Danio rerio: one gene and its partners. The protein of the gene in region 1 interacts with the protein of each later gene in a pairwise test. Links are inferred from orthologs where the notes say so. Each region holds a gene or a part of one and is shown on either strand. Other genes may lie near its edges.

What was found.
Region 2: the proteins of vim (region 1) and ppl interact in binary tests that used the Homo sapiens proteins (3 or more experiments, as listed by UniProt). The link is inferred for Danio rerio from reciprocal best matches to the Homo sapiens genes VIM and PPL.
Region 3: the proteins of vim (region 1) and crmp1 interact in binary tests that used the Homo sapiens proteins (3 or more experiments, as listed by UniProt). The link is inferred for Danio rerio from reciprocal best matches to the Homo sapiens genes VIM and CRMP1.
Region 4: the proteins of vim (region 1) and kat7b interact in binary tests that used the Homo sapiens proteins (3 or more experiments, as listed by UniProt). The link is inferred for Danio rerio from reciprocal best matches to the Homo sapiens genes VIM and KAT7.

The regions. Positions count from the first base shown.
Region 1 is NC_133199.1:36,348,443-36,352,791, forward strand, and holds the start of vim (vimentin), read left to right. Parts: upstream 1-1,485; 5' UTR 1,486-1,552; coding exon 1,553-2,088; intron 2,089-3,625; coding exon 3,626-3,686; intron 3,687-4,349. UniProt on the Homo sapiens protein: Vimentins are class-III intermediate filaments found in various non-epithelial cells, especially mesenchymal cells. Vimentin is attached to the nucleus, endoplasmic reticulum, and mitochondria, either laterally or terminally.
Region 2 is NC_133178.1:35,315,582-35,319,148, reverse strand, and holds part of ppl (periplakin), read left to right. Parts: intron 1-558; coding exon 559-656; intron 657-740; coding exon of another isoform or gene 741-746; coding exon 747-904; intron 905-1,512; coding exon 1,513-1,691; intron 1,692-1,912; coding exon 1,913-2,051; intron 2,052-2,145; coding exon 2,146-2,339; intron 2,340-3,567. UniProt on the Homo sapiens protein: Component of the cornified envelope of keratinocytes. May link the cornified envelope to desmosomes and intermediate filaments. May act as a localization signal in PKB/AKT-mediated signaling.
Region 3 is NC_133176.1:15,736,956-15,740,522, forward strand, and holds part of crmp1 (dihydropyrimidinase-related protein 1), read left to right. Parts: intron 1-57; coding exon 58-222; intron 223-511; coding exon 512-573; intron 574-682; coding exon 683-763; intron 764-2,002; coding exon 2,003-2,071; intron 2,072-2,172; coding exon 2,173-2,293; intron 2,294-3,567.
Region 4 is NC_133187.1:6,548,148-6,552,482, reverse strand, and holds the start of kat7b (histone acetyltransferase KAT7), read left to right. Parts: upstream 1-1,470; 5' UTR 1,471-1,599; coding exon 1,600-1,614; intron 1,615-2,146; coding exon 2,147-2,197; intron 2,198-4,175; coding exon 4,176-4,323; intron 4,324-4,335. UniProt on the Homo sapiens protein: Catalytic subunit of histone acetyltransferase HBO1 complexes, which specifically mediate acetylation of histone H3 at 'Lys-14' (H3K14ac), thereby regulating various processes, such as gene transcription, protein ubiquitination, immune regulation, stem cell pluripotent and self-renewal maintenance and embryonic development.

The DNA of each region.
Region 1 (4,349 bases):
ATTTAGCTTACCCAATTCATATGTACTGCATGTCTTTGAACTTGCACTTGTGGGGCAAACTGGAGCATGCAAAACCCATGCGAACACGGAGAGAACATGCAAACTCCACATAGAAATGCCAACTGGCCCATTCACAGCTCAAACCAGCAACCTTCTTGCTGTCAGGCAATCATGCTACCCACTGCGTAGCACCATGACACCCATCAGTGAATGCTTAGGTATTAAATAGTACTAACATTAAATAAACAAATAAATACATAATTTGACTTGAATAAAATCTTCTTTCAGAAGTTACCTAAATTATTCAATTATTATTCACAAATCTGCTTAATACCTCAATCTATTTACCCCAAAGTTAATTAAAAAATAACTCAACAATATTAATAAGCATAATTAGATGCTGTTTACTGTGGTGCACTGAGGTTTATGACAAATATTAAATCCCTCACTCATCCCACAAATCCCACAATCATTTTGTGTTGTTCTCTCAGGTAGGATGGTCTGCTTTGTCCACCCATCGGTTCAAGCATTGGTATATCTTTGTCTATTAATCTATCCTGGGTTTACTCCCCTCATATCTGCAAACGTACATTTGTGAAAGAAAAAAACTGTCTCTATAGCCTTTAGTCTCAGGAATTTAATTTATTGTACCAGTGGTGATATAAGGGGAAAAAAGGCTTTTAAATAGCAACCCTTGCATGAAATAACCTGCAATCAAAGTTGCAGTTGAAAGAGTTGGTTTCTCTACATACCTTGAAAAAGATTTTGAAACACTGGTCTGTAGATGTTCTGACTGATCTGTAATTTTTTTGCTTGTTTTGATGAATGATGTTATCTGTTTTTTTTTTTTTTTGTTAAGCCGAACTGCTTAATTTTGGCCAGGAGGCTCTTGTAAAAGAGACTTTTAATCTCAATGTGCTTTTTCCTGGTAGAATAGAGGCTATGTTAATATATGATGATGATGATCAATAAGGCCTAAATAATTAATTCATTTTTATTTTTTAAATAATGCTAAACATAAATTGGCTAAACAGACTCAGTAAAAATAACTTTTGCTGCTTGTTTAAACTACTTATTTATAATGAGTTGAAACAAGACAGTTCTTAAGTTTTTTGGGGGGACAACTTGATTGGTTTATGTTCAATTCACTTAAATTTGTACAAAAAAATTATATATATATATATATATATATATATATATATATATATATATATATATATATATATATATATATATATATAACATGTAGGATTTGTGTGGAACCCTGCATTTTGCATATATTTTTTATAAAGAATTGAACAAATCTTCTAACAAAAAATAAACAAATCTTCCAGCTTTTTCCCCATGAAACTCTCTCACTGCAGGTTCTGGAGGGTCTCCTCACCCCTCCGCCCCGGCGGCGTGCCTGCGTCACAGAGCCTCCCGCACCGTTATGTCATTAGCATAGGGAGTGGACTATAAAAACCAGCCGAACCTCCGCAGTATCCCCGTTTGGTCTGGACAGGGTGCGATATTTAGACTTCAACAATAACCCGCAAACTAAAGGATTACCATGGCCAGTCGAACAAGCACATCTTCCTATAAAAGGATGTTCGGCGGGGAGCGTCCCGCGGCGGCGCGGTCCACTTTCTCCAGCCGGCAGTACAGCAGCCCAGTGCGCGTCTCCTCCTCGCGCACGTCCTACAACTACAGCAGCGCGCCTCCATCCGTGTACGCGAGTAAAAGCTTGAGAGTGCGCTCCGGCGCGCCCCTTCCCAGACTCGCCACCGACACTCTGGATTTCGGGCTTGCCGAGGCCATAAACACCGAGTTTAAAGCCAACCGGACCAATGAGAAAGCGGAGATGCAGCACCTCAACGACCGGTTCGCCAGTTACATAGACAAAGTGCGCTTTCTGGAGCAGCAGAACAAGATCCTGATCGCGGAGCTGGAGCAGCTGCGGGGCAAAGGAGCGTCCCGGGTCGGAGATCTGTACGAGGATGAGATGCGGGAGCTGCGGAGACAGGTGGATCAGCTGACCGGGGAAAAGAGCAAAGTGGAGGTGGACCGGGACAACCTAGGGGAGGACATCGAGCGCCTCAAGGAGAGGTCTGTTCTGGCACTATTACTGTCTAAAAACTTAGTGTCAAGTGTTAAATAACTTGCAGGCGCACATAATATGTTTTACGTTTTGTTTTTGTTATTTTATGCTAACTTAATGTGCATTTAAAAGGTTAACAGATGAATGTTTGTCTGTTTTTTTGTAACTTTCACTATGTTTTTATACTTAAACAGCCTATAGGTTAGTCATAACTAAATTAAACTTTACTGATAAATATAAATATTATTATTATTATTATAAATATTTATTATTGTGCTTATTGTTCATTGATCCTTTCTGGATCTCAAAAATTTTAGTGAAAAGTTCTTCAAAAACTATTTTAAAACAATTTCATAGCATTTTGAGAATCTTTTTCCACTGTAAAGAAGCTTTTGGGAAATTAAAAGGTTCCATTGAGGTTAAAAGTTCTTTCTTTCGATAAAAGCATTTTTAGGCAAATACAGTGCTCAACATATATAAGTACACCCCTCACAGATCTGTCTTTTAAATTTATATATTTAATAGTAAGCGATACAATATTATATTTGTGCATATAGGGTACATTTAATCAGTACTGAAGCCAAATCTGGAGCTTATCTAACAAAATAACTTATGATAATTAATGAAAAACTAGTACAGCCAAATTTATGTTATAGAAAAATATTAAATACAAATTTAAAAAAGAGGAAAAATCCAGAAAAGCAAAAAAGGGGAAAATTTTGTTGAAATTTTGTAGGTCGTACTTAGTTTTTGCAATATTTTGCTTTAATTTAATTGTTTTATCCATCAATTTTTAACTATGTTTGGTGACTAAAATAATATTTTAATAAATATATCTGTTTAGTAAATCTGTTTTGTTTAAATGCACCAAAATACATCGCCTATACATTCGTAATGCTTAAATTGACATTTGTTAGTATAATCTAACAATGCATTATAAAATGCTTTGTAAAACGTATGACTCGTTTAGAAATACTTCATTTTAAATGTATAGGCAATCTTTTATGTTTGCTATAAAATAAAAAAGTGTTAAGCATAGGCTAGCAATTGTGCAATAGTGTAATCATTATGACAGTATTTCATTAAAATAAAAAATATATATAATAAATATATAATTTAATTTATATAATATATAAAAATGACTTGTTTAATACAGAGATTTAACAATTCTTAAGACATTTCATTAAAATATGATCAGATATACAGTTCATAATGATAAAATCAAATATTTTAAAACAGGAACCATTTTACATAGCATAAATGCTAATATTAAATCATGTTAATGGCTTGAATTTAAAAAAAGCTGACATTTTTAAACAGTGTTCAGTGTCAAATAATAGCATGTTGAATTTCTATTGGCGCAAATCTCTGTTATAAACTTTTTTTTAACATTATCAAGGAAAAAAAACAACATAATTTCTTCATGTTTTGATACAGTAAATTAAAATAAACTGATTACTGATTTCTATCCACTGTGTGATGCTCCACGAGGCTGTTTTTATAGTAAAGGGTGTGGCTCTGCTTAAATATGCATCTCATTTCCAGACTTCAAGAAGAGATGCTTCAAAGAGAAGATGCTGAGAACAGCCTCCGCAGCTTCAGACAGGTACATCCGCTCACATTCACAGTAAAGAAATCACCACAAACAACTATTTGCGCATGCATGGTTGTCATTCTTGAACCTGACGTTTGATCGAGTGCAAACAAAGCCACTATTACGCTGCGATCAGTTAACAGTCGGTCCAGTCAGTGTGTGCAAGACAAGTCTTATTGTGAGCAGTCTGTGCACAATCAAAGGGTCAGCGCAGGCCTGGTCAAGCTGCCCTCTCGGCCAGCATCAGATTTAGACACACACCGCTGAAAACAAAGCTTTGTCTGAGAGCCGGCTGGCTGTTCATGACAAAGCAAACTGTTGTGCGGATGGGAGGAGACGGCGTTAACTAGGGGACATTGGTGACTTATGGAGGACGCAGAGAAGAGGATGTGTGTGTGTCTGTGTATATGCATGTGTTTTAAAGAGTATCTGCCACCCACAGCTGCAGCTGAACAAATTACTGGCAGCGGGCGAGCTATTGTTATTCATTGGTTAAGTTGAATTTACATACAGTCGAAGATGACATTGTTAGCCCTCCAATTCTTTCGCAAAACTTACTTCCAATACTTATCAGAGCAAAGACAATTTCACAGTATTACTATTTCCTATTATATGTTATATTATATGTTATATAATATGTTATATAATATTATATTTATTTTAGTTTCTTCTAGT
Region 2 (3,567 bases), on another chromosome or scaffold:
TAACTAATTTCTAATAACTGATTTATTTTATATTTGCCATGATGACAGTAAATAATATTCAACTAGATATTTTTCAAGCTTAAAGTGACATTTAAAGACTTAACTAGGTTAATTAGGTTAACTAGGCAGGTTAGGGTAATAAGGCTTTCTCCAGAAAACAAAATATTATCAGACATACTGTGAAAATTTCCTTGCTCTGTTAAACATCATTTAGGAAATATATAAAAAAAAAAAAAAAATCAAAGGGGGCTAATAATGTCACTTTAAGCTGTATAGAAGTGTCTTGAAAAAATATATAGTAAAATAATATTTACTGTAATCATGGCAAAGATAAAATAAGTCGGTTATTAGAAATGAGTTATTAAAACTATCATGTTTAGAGATGTGTTGAAAAAATCTTCTCTCCGTTAAACTGAAATTGGGGGAAAAAATAAACAGGGGGGCCAATAATTCTGACTTCAACTGTACCTAATAAATCCACTAAATCTGCAGAATTGTCATGTCATTTTCACAATTTATACATTTCCAAGTGTACTTATCCTGAAATCATCTTTGCAGTCTGATAAACCAACATAAAAGCATCAAACAGAAAGTCGCCAGCAGCAAAACTGCACTACAGGCCCGACTGGCAGAGCTCAAGAAGGAGAGTACAGGAGGTAAAGGCTTGCCTCTTATGTTATAATAAACTATGCAGAGCTCTTCCAAAGAGAGAAAAACGCTAAATTTGCTTCTTCCTCCAGGCGCAGATAAGCAAGAGCAGCAGTGCCGTCAGCTGATGGCAGGACTGGATAAAGTTGTCAGCGATCTGGATAAGCAGGAGAAGGCCATTTACTCTCGTGTGCGCCCTCCACTGGAGCAGACGCGTCCTGTGCAAGACAGCGCTGATAGGCTGCAGGACATCAGGGTACAGATTATGACTGTACTGCATTAGACTTGTCACAAAGCTTGAATATTGATGCACTTTTGTTGGTTTGATTGCTTCTAGTTTTGTAAAGTCACTTTCATGTTTTCATGTAAATTTCATGTGCACGTCACGTTTGCACAATCACAATATAAAGTGTAAAATAAGATAAATTCTGGGTTGTTAGATGCAAATTTACAAATCATTGAAAAAAGCTTGAATCATACTAGATGTTAACTCACAATTGTGTGGGGTTAAAAAGCTGAATTGAAAACATGTGTCAGAGAAGAGATTTCTGAGTTAAGATTTTACCCTTTTTATTGGAATTATAATCATTTTTCTTAGAATGTTTTTTCTCTGACAATGCTGCATTTTTAACTTGGTTTTAAAAAGTTAGCATCACACATTTTGTTGATATGTGAGGAAAAAACATTCACAGTTGCCAGATCTACAATATTTTATGCTGTCACAGAAATGGGCATCAACATATTATTGGGCCGTCATACACAAATGCTAGATATAAATGTGTGAAAGCAAACAAACGTCTGCAATATAAACATAAAAGCATTGCTTCAGATCCTGTATTTCTTACTCTAGTGTTTTCTTCACAGGACATTACTTCTGCTGTCAATAAGATAGAGCCAGAAAAGTCTGCAAAAGTAAAGGAGGCTGAGGCTTTCCTTAAATCCTCCCCGAAATGCGCAAGTGCCCCACAGCTCTACTCCAAGGTGGATGATACTAACAAGAAATACAACAAAGTTGATTTGCTGCTGAAATGTTCAACTGACAAGTGAGCATACCCCCTTTCATTACAGAGTCATGAATGCCACACATGATATATCAGGGTCTAAATCAGCTTATTCCTAAAGCTATCATTATTAAACAGCCTTAAAAACACATATTTAAAGATTTACATTTTTCAATTTGCAAATATAAACCTTTATGTTCCTTTCTATACCGATTTATACACCAAAGCATGAATTGTGTACCAAATCCTGCTTTGTTTTGTAGACTGCAGAACTCCTATCAGCTGGAGAACTCACTGCAGAATGGCAAAACTCTGCTGTCCACTTATGAAAACAAACTGGCAAGAGAAGAGACTGCCCCATCTGACCCCGCTTCAATAGAGAAGACCCAGCGCGAGTTGGCGGTAAGCATTGTAATCAATGATACTTCTTTCTCTTGATCTATTTTTTCCAAACAGATTCATGATGCACTGGTGTTTGCTGTGCTCTTGTCTCTAGGACATCGCGTCTGAGCTGAGAAGCAAAAGATCTATCATCACACAGACTGAGCAGAACCTGAGAGACGCTAAAACCAGCTGCAGTAACATGACCAATAAAGTGCAAGAGCACTGTCCTGATATCGAGAGGCAAGAGGCGGAGGTTCAGAAAATGACCAAACGCTTTGACAACCTGAACCGACAGACAGAAGCAAGGTGAGCTCATTGGTTAATCCGGCCCTGGACACAACTGATATAAGCAAACAGGTTGTTGAAGGTAGGAAGGAGAGTGTCTAAGCATGGTTAGAAGAAACAATGTGAGATGTTGGGCAGTTTATGAACTTGTACCACCCTCCATACTATACTTTCCTGACTCCGATTTAGTAGTTTTATATAAAGTGTATGATGGACAAACGTACACCAGAGTAGATCTGCTGCAAGTCATGGATTTAGCATGTAGTGATATAGATGAGGAACCATGTCAGGGCTGGATATGGCACACAAGAGGCTTCTTCCCCCATAGCTTCAGGACAGACCATATTGGATTACAAAGTGTTCTGGTCTGACTCGGCCCAAAGAAAAGAAACAAATTGATTTATGTTTCCACCTTTGATTTTTGTCCCTTTTAGTACTGTATACAGAAATACAGTGCATTGTAGGCTGTATACTATACAATAAACAAATTGTATGGCCCCGAACATTGAGATTAAAATGTAGTTCTCTTTAAGAACTATGTTTTAAATAATGGGTTTTCTGTATTGTGTTGTATTGTCCTCTGACTACTTGATAGTGTATATCATTTTGATCACTCTGTTTATTAATTGAGAGAAGTGCTTGATTTTGAACACAGGTAAAACTGTTTTGAAGCAAAAGATTCATTTTGCAAGAGAAGGTCAGAGGTTTTGTTAATAGTGCTTGAGGATGAGATTTTGTGTTTAATGGTGTAAGTATATTGAGCAAGGGTTCAGAAATTGTTTTAGAAATCGAGAAAAACTGCCATTACTCACCCTCATGTTGTTTCAAACTCCTGAGATTTTCATTGATCTTCAGAACACAAAATAATCAGAGAGCTCCCTCATCCTTCATAGACAGCAAGGTCTCTGACTCCCGATTCAAAGTTCGGAAAGGTACCAAAAACTTCCTCAAAGCAGTCCTAATGCCTTCAGTGGTTTAAACAGAATATTGTCGAGCTACAAGAATACTTTCTCTCCTCATTGTCAGTATATTATGTGCATTCATGTGCACTCATGTATGGACCCCATGGGTGACTTTCTCTGCTGGAAACAAAACAAGGGAGCATCTGAATACATCAGAGCTCAAGACATGAATGTGCACCTTATACTGACACTGAAGAGAAGAAACTGATGAATAAAGTTGTTGTTTTTTCTTTTATGTGTGCACAAAAGTATTCTCATAGCTTAATAATATTGCAATTGAACCACTG
Region 3 (3,567 bases), on another chromosome or scaffold:
AAAAGGCCTATATTTATGGTAGTAATAGATTACAGAATGTATAATTTCCTGTTTCAGTTGATCATGTGACACCACAGCCTGGAGATGGTCTATTGGAGGCCTTTGAGAAGTGGCAGGAAGCGGCGGATAAGAAGTCCTGCTGTGATTATTCACTACATGTCGATATTCCACACTGGCATGAAGGAGTGAAGGAGGAGCTGGAACAGCTGGTACAGGAAAAAGGTGAATATGTATTTAAAGATGAAACAATATCCCAACACAATAGTTCTGCAAAGCTGAATATACTCAGTACTTTTTATACTACATACTTGATTATACTGATGTTTAACAGCCACTTGTTGAAACCTGCCAAATGTTAATGGTTGTTAATAACCTTCAGTCAAATGTGTTGTCTTTTATTCAGCAAGGACGTATTTATATAATCAATTAACTTTCAGATATCTTACAGGAAACCGAACGTTTTGAATGGTTGTGAAGGCAAATGCAAGCTAATGTTCTTTTCTTTTGACAGGAATCAACTCTTTCCAAGTGTACATGGCTTACAAAGGGTTATACCAAATGCCTGACTCTCAGGTGAGTAAATGCTGCCGTTTGCAAAAATGCCATCTGTGGCTCTATATTTAGAGCAAAATATGCAGAAATACAATAAAGTAACTAATAGCATCTCTGTTTTTTCTTCTAGTTGTACGAAGCGTTCTCTTTCCTTAAGGAGCTGGGGGCAGTAGTGCTGGTGCATGCAGAGAATGGAGACCTGATAGCACAGGTACCTACTCACTTAAATCCCTAATAATAGTCATAATCAAGTTAGGCTTAAATTCGCTTGAAGTCTTACTCCGTCATAGCCCATAAAAATACATCCAGATGAAAATCTTTCACTCTATTAGGGTTAATCTTTGTGACAAATCACGTTTTGGTGCCTGGTCAACTATAATTCCAAGTCAGCATTTCAGATCTTGTGATGTGACTATTGCAGATTCTCACATTGCAATATTGATGTTAAATCTGTATATTGTACAGCTCTATAATAAATCTCTATTTTATTTTCGTTCTTCTTTTAGGGGTAAAACTAAGTTTGATGTTATTATGTGCTGCCCTTCTCCTCTCAATAACAAAAAATATCTGAGGGGGAAAAAAACAAGAGTGAGAAATCAGCAGTTAAGAAAGCATCTGATTACAGCGATGTGGATGTTAGTGCGAGCTCTGCTTTCCAATAACATATTGTTACATAATGTATTGTTATATACTGTAACACTTTATATATTAAATTGATTTTAATTTCTATAAGCTTTACAGTATTAAACCTTAAAACACATCTGCATTGCTTGAAATTAGAATTACTCTTCAGTTTCTATTAGGTAACTTTTCTCATGGCATGTTGTCTGAACATTTTCAAGTGAAAGAAGGCGGGGCCTCAGAGCCACACCTACCTATTACATAATCATCATGGCCCAATGGTAGCTTGAATGCATTGACACATTTCTGTAAAATTCACTTACTTTGGTAGACTCTTAAAGGGTCAGTGCACTCAAAAATGTCCACTTGATCCAAAAATATGTGAGTTTCTTTTGTCTATTGAAAGCAAGAGAATATTTTCATGAACAGTTGATGATCCCCATTGAGTCTACTTTGGAATTCATTTGGGAATATCAACTGTTTTGTTATCAACATTCTTCAAAATATCTGTATAATATAATATAATATAATATAATATAATATAATATAATATAATATAATATAATATAATCCTAGAGATGGGTTGCGGCTGGAAGGGCATCCGCTGTGTCAAAATGTGCTGGATTAGTTGGCGGTTCATTCCGCTGGGGCGACTACGGATTAATAAAGGGACTAAGCCTAAAAGAAAATGAATAAATGAATAATACAATATAAATAGAGTATTTATTTATTTATTACATGTTTATTGCAGGATCTGTTTATTGACCATACTGTCGTAAATTTTTACAATTTATCCATTTATTTAACTGTGTTAACGTTTGTGTTCAAGGAACAAAGCAAAATCTTGGGAATGGGCATCATTGGTCCGGAAGGTCACCCACTGAGCCGTCCAGAAGAGGTGGGATCAATAAACAAAGTGATGAACTATTTAGCTGATTAACTTGCTGATTGTTTTAGTGATGCGAACAGTCCTGATGCGGCTGGTTTTCTGTTTCACAGCTGGAGGCGGAGGCTGTTTTCCGGGCCATCACCATTGGCAACAGAGTCAACTGTCCTGTGTACATCACCAAAGTGATGAGTAAGAGTGCCGCAGAGACTGTGGCCATTGCACGCAAGAAAGGTGACAGCATATTGCTGAAAGAAGTCCCTAATCCTCACCCAGGCTGCATTTATTTGATCACAAATACAGTCAAAACGGAATTATTGTGAAATATTATTACAGATTCATATTATTTTTCTATGTTTGATATTTGAATATATTTTAAATGTAATGTAATACTTTGATGGCAAAGCTGAACTGAATAAATCATGAATTCAGACTTTTGTATCAAATGATCAAGACACATTACCTGTTATGATCAAAGTTGAAAACTTACATAAATGTATTCTCTTTTGATCATTTAATGCATTCTTGCTAAATATAAGTATTTATTTCTTTAAAAAAGTCTTACTAACTCCAAATCTTTAAACATTAGTGTACATTTCTAGAAAGTTCTTGTAATGACTTTAGTCAGGGTAGTGCGGGATATCTTGTTTGCAGTCCATATATTTAAAAATTCTTAAGGAAGCATTTTCTAGAAGCAAAAATGATTGTCTTTTCTTCAGAAAAAACACACTAAAATATCTTTAAAACAAACACAATAATCTGCCAGTTGGATAAGTAAAATAAACTTGTTTTTAGATTGTTTTGCTTACCCCAGTAGCAGATTTTTAACTTGTTTTATGAAGAAACTCAGTTAAAGGTGCAGTAGGTGATTGTCTTCAGAAACATGTTTTGTTGTGCTGGTTGAAAGTCTCTTCACAGTCCAACAGAAATTATTAAAGTAAATGATCTAAATGTTTTAATATGTATTTTTATGTTCTGGGTAAGGCATAAGACTCAAAAATGTTCATCCAGTTAAAAATTGTCAGGCCGACACTTCCCATAATTCTGATAGGTAGCCCAAATTGTCTGTTAGCAAATGTAGATTTGTAGAACTGCGCTCCTCTGTTCATGCAGATCTGCCATTAGCGTGTTCGCGTGGACACATGTGACAGCAGTAAAAACAACTGCTGAATCAGAACTCTTTAAATTCCTGAATCAATGTTGGAGTTAGTTTTGCACGCTGGAGGAAGGATGACATCATTGCTCTGGTATTTCTGTTAGACAGGTAATGTTCTGTTTTAAAGCTGTTTTAGTCACGCAAAGCTGATGTAGATTTGGTTGTTACTAATGGGTATATGCATGGAAGTGTTGTTTACTGAAATCTTCCGGCGAAAGATTGATTGACTATTTTCAGTTTCATAAGATACCTTTTACTGTAAGTAAAACATAAGTAAATAGCACTATTCCACCTAGCCTTATATATAGCTCCAAATAGTGTTTACCATGCTACTCTAAATATTCGCTCTGAA
Region 4 (4,335 bases), on another chromosome or scaffold:
ACATCATATGTGTTTGTCAAACATAACCTAAAACAAATTGAAGTTTAAATCAAATATCACAGCCAAATATAGATTGAAAATATATTCATTCATTCATTTTCTTGTCGGCTTAGTCCCTTTATTAATCCAGGGTCTCCACAGCGGAATGAACCGCCAACTTATCCAGCAAGTATTTACGCAGCGGATGCCCTTCCAGCCGCAACCCATCTGTGGGAAACATCCACACACACACTCATACACTACGGACAATTTAGCCTACCCAATTCACCTGTACTGCATGTCTTTGTACTGTGGGGGAAAACCGGAGCCGGGGGAAAATGGAAACCCACATGAAGGCAGGGAGAACATGCAAACTCCACACAGAAACGCCAACTGAGCCGAGGTACGAACCAGCGACCTTCTTGCTGTGAGGTGACAGCACTATACTGCGCCACTGCCTCGCCCAGATTTAAAACATATTTACCCACAAGTAGGGTGACTCGGTGGCACTCGGTGGCACAATCACCTCACAGCAAGAAGGTTGCTGGTTCGAGCCTCAACCATTTTATATTTTTATTAGTGTTGAACATCTCATTTTATCTTTACATCCCCATATGGGCCAATTAATCCTGTTTTTTTATAGTAAGTAAAGGTGTAGTAACCATGCTTTTAGACTTGATAACCAATTCTATAACTACAGTTTAGGCTACTACAAAAACCATATACACTCTCAGAAATAACGGTACAGGAGCTGTCGCTGGGGCAGTACCTTTTCAAAAGATACATATTTGTACCCAAAGAGTCCATAGTGGTACCTCAAGGGTGCATTTTAGTGCCCAAATGTACCTTTGACATACCATTATGGACCCTTCATGTACTAATATGTATTTTTTGTAAAGGTTCTGCCCCAGCGACAGCTCCTGTATCTTTATTTCGAAGAAGGTGTTAGTTAACCAAAGAAATATTTTGTTTTATTAATTTATTTTGATAACGGTTATTGCCTAAAAGGTTATCTGGACATTCGAGCTATATGACATTTAATTGCATTAAATATGCTTTATTCAAACTTAATTTCGAACATTAAAATTAAATAGGATTGCCAACAAATTCAGGGAATCACAAAAAGTTTCTAGAGTTTTTAGAAACGAATATCAAAAAGTTTTTAGATCAATGAAAAATAGTTTACAATTTGGTACAGCTAAGCATACATTTTGTTTTGATGTGGTCATTTACAAATAAAATAAGATTTTTTGTTATTTTGCAGGCCGTTCATTCCACTGTGGCGGCCCCGGATTAATAAAGGGACTAAGCCGAAAAGAAAATGAATGAATGAATGAATGAATGAATGTTATTTTGCAGAACATGGATGTTTGTTGAGTCCTACTGGTCTAAATGGACGACGTCCCTCACTCGCTTCAGCGCCGCCATGTTTTCCGTCATTGCGTCACTTCCGCCGCGGTCCGGTGTGGCGCGAGTCGCGAGATAGTGAACAATTTGCGAGAACAGAAAAGGGCAAACTTGTGTTCACGCAGCTGCTGGGTTATATCTAATAACTGAAAACAAATAAATTCGTTTGACAAACGTGTGAAGAAAGCGGCGATTGGATTTATCGGAGGGAACATGCCGCGGCGGAAGGTGAGAGAAAATGCGAGAACTGGGTCAGTAGCCCAGTCGGCTGAGCGCGCGCTAACGGCTAGCTCAATGTTTGTTTACATGTTCAGACAAATGTTGTTTGTTTTCTATTAAAATGTTTCAATTTTTATCTCAATTGTGTTCTGAGTTAACATTTTAGCGCATAAGAATCGAAAAGCAAAGAAAGTGGCTTCGAAAACGGTGCGTTTTTAGGTAAAAGTGAAGCTAGTTAGCATTTTTTCTTTATGTGCAAACGTTAATGTTGAAAACACACTTGAGATTTAAAGTAATATTATTATTTCATTAAGGCAAGATACATTGCAAGTTTCCTTTTACCATCTGTCTATTTAGATTTTTTTTGCTTTTTAATGCTATTCAGAATACAATTCTACGAGAATACGATGATACTGTAAAGAAAACACCCATTATGCCCTTTTAATGTGTTATTTTCTAAGCTTTTTATCAAAATGTGTGTTTGTACATTCAGTTGCAATACATATTCTATTCTGAAAATGTTTTTGTTTCTCCTCTACAGGGCCATAAATCTCCATTTCAGCTGATCTTAAATAAACCCATAAATACTGAGGTAAAGTTCATTTTATTAATCGCACATTTAGACATTAATAATAAAGTTTCAGGAAAGTATTTTTTTGCTAACAAAGGAGAAGCTGGAAAAAACAGCAGCAAATGATCCAATCTGCAACCTAAAACATGAACAAACTGCCATGTTTAACGTTAACTAGTATCATCACCTATTGGACTATTATGAATTTGGAATGACGGAATTACCTTCTAACAAGAGGCTACATGTGCTGCTGAAGATTAAAGACACATATAAGAGGTTTGCGTCTGACTGGGCTATATTTCGTGTTGTTTTTGAACCCAAATAAGGACTAAATGTATGCTGTGTGTAGTTTTTATGTAATTGATAACATATCGGAGACTGTAAAGGTCTGTTTGTTTTCATATATGTTGTGTTTATTTATTTATTACATATAATTACAGACGCTACAGTAGGCTATTTTGCACTATCACTGATCTGTAGTTATAATCAAGTCATGTTCATAGAAGGGTTAGTAATAAACATTTAAAGAGAAGTATTTATGTGTATAAAGCTTCTGTTTTGTGAGAAGGGCTTCTCATATTTGTGAACGACCTGTATGGCTTTACTGTGACATTTCCTTTAGTAAAAATGATGTCATCTGAAACTTTGTCATACACCACTCCCACTAAAAGGGTACCTTTTTGGCTGTAGAAACGCAAGCTTGTTAAAGTGACCCCATTCCGACCGTGAAAACCGGCCATAAATGTCTCCCTTCCTAAGTTACACTTGCTCCTTTAGCTTCCTCACTGTCTATTTTCAAGCGCAGTGCGATCATTTTTGTCGCATATGTGCCCGAAATTTCATCTATGCATAAAATTGATGACGTTCGACCAGTTTTCACAACAAAATATTCACCACATGCGCAGATTTAGGAGGCATTCACGCATTAAGCATCTTTGCACCTAAAAACACCAAACGCAGCACTCAGGAATGGTTTAAAACAAGTGACTTGTCAACTTGCTGCAGTAAACAAAGCCTGCAATGCTTGCCCTGCCTTCTAGCTCTTCTTATTGGCCCACTGCGCTAGAACAGAACTCGAATAGATTGGCTCATATCAGCTGTCAATCAGACAGTTCCGATGACAGAGCTACAGCCACGAAAACGTAAAGGTAATCCATATGGAACATTGTTGTGTACAGAATATGGTCAGTCTATGTTACTGTTCCTATGGTGTATGTAAGTTTTTTGGCTTTTGTTTTAGGCTTTTTAGAACAACAGTATCCCCAGCAGCCTAAGCAGTTATCACAATACCGTTAAACCATGCTATATTTATCCAAGGTTTTCATACCATCTAAATCTTATGCCGTCCCATGCCTAAGTACAACAGTCAATTAAATATTACTTATATTGTTTAAGTAACATGGTAAACGATATAGGGACCAAGTCACAAGTTGTCATTGAACGAATGTGCGAATTTAAAACCAACTTTACCTTAATCCCATAAACCAGTGTTTCTCAACCACGTTCCTGGAAGACCACCAGCTCTGCACATTTTTCATGTCTTCTTAACCAAACACACCTGATTCAAATCATCAGCTCATCAGCAGAGACTGAGAGACTTATAATGGGTTTGACAGACAAAGGAGACATCCAAAACATGCATTGTTGGTGGTCCTTCAGGAACGTGGTTGAGAAACAGTCATAAACCATTACATTTTTCCCTTGCTGTTTTCAGTTTTTACAAAAACAGTGTAAAAAAACGAATGATCGTTTTTGAACTATATTTTTGTGCTAGAAATGTGCAAATTTAATGAAATAATGGATCATTTTTTACATTTAAACATCATTGTAGAACAATTGTAATGCTGTTTCTTTGCATTTCTTCAAGTAATCAATCGAAATCGTTTATAATCTTTTCCCCTGTTCAACTGCAGTGCTTAGCTCATTTTAAAGTGTTGTTTAATTCATGATCTGTACATGTACACTGATAAAGCACTGCTAATGTCCACTCTGTGTTTAGAGAACTGCGGGCAGTAGTTCAGACGGGACTGCAGATTCGGATGACTCTGGAGATCATGAGAAGACCGACAGCTCTCACGGTGAAGCCAACCAGCGCAATAACACCCGCATGACCCGAGCATCACTGCGCCTTAGCCAGAGCTCTCAAGGTAAAAACACAC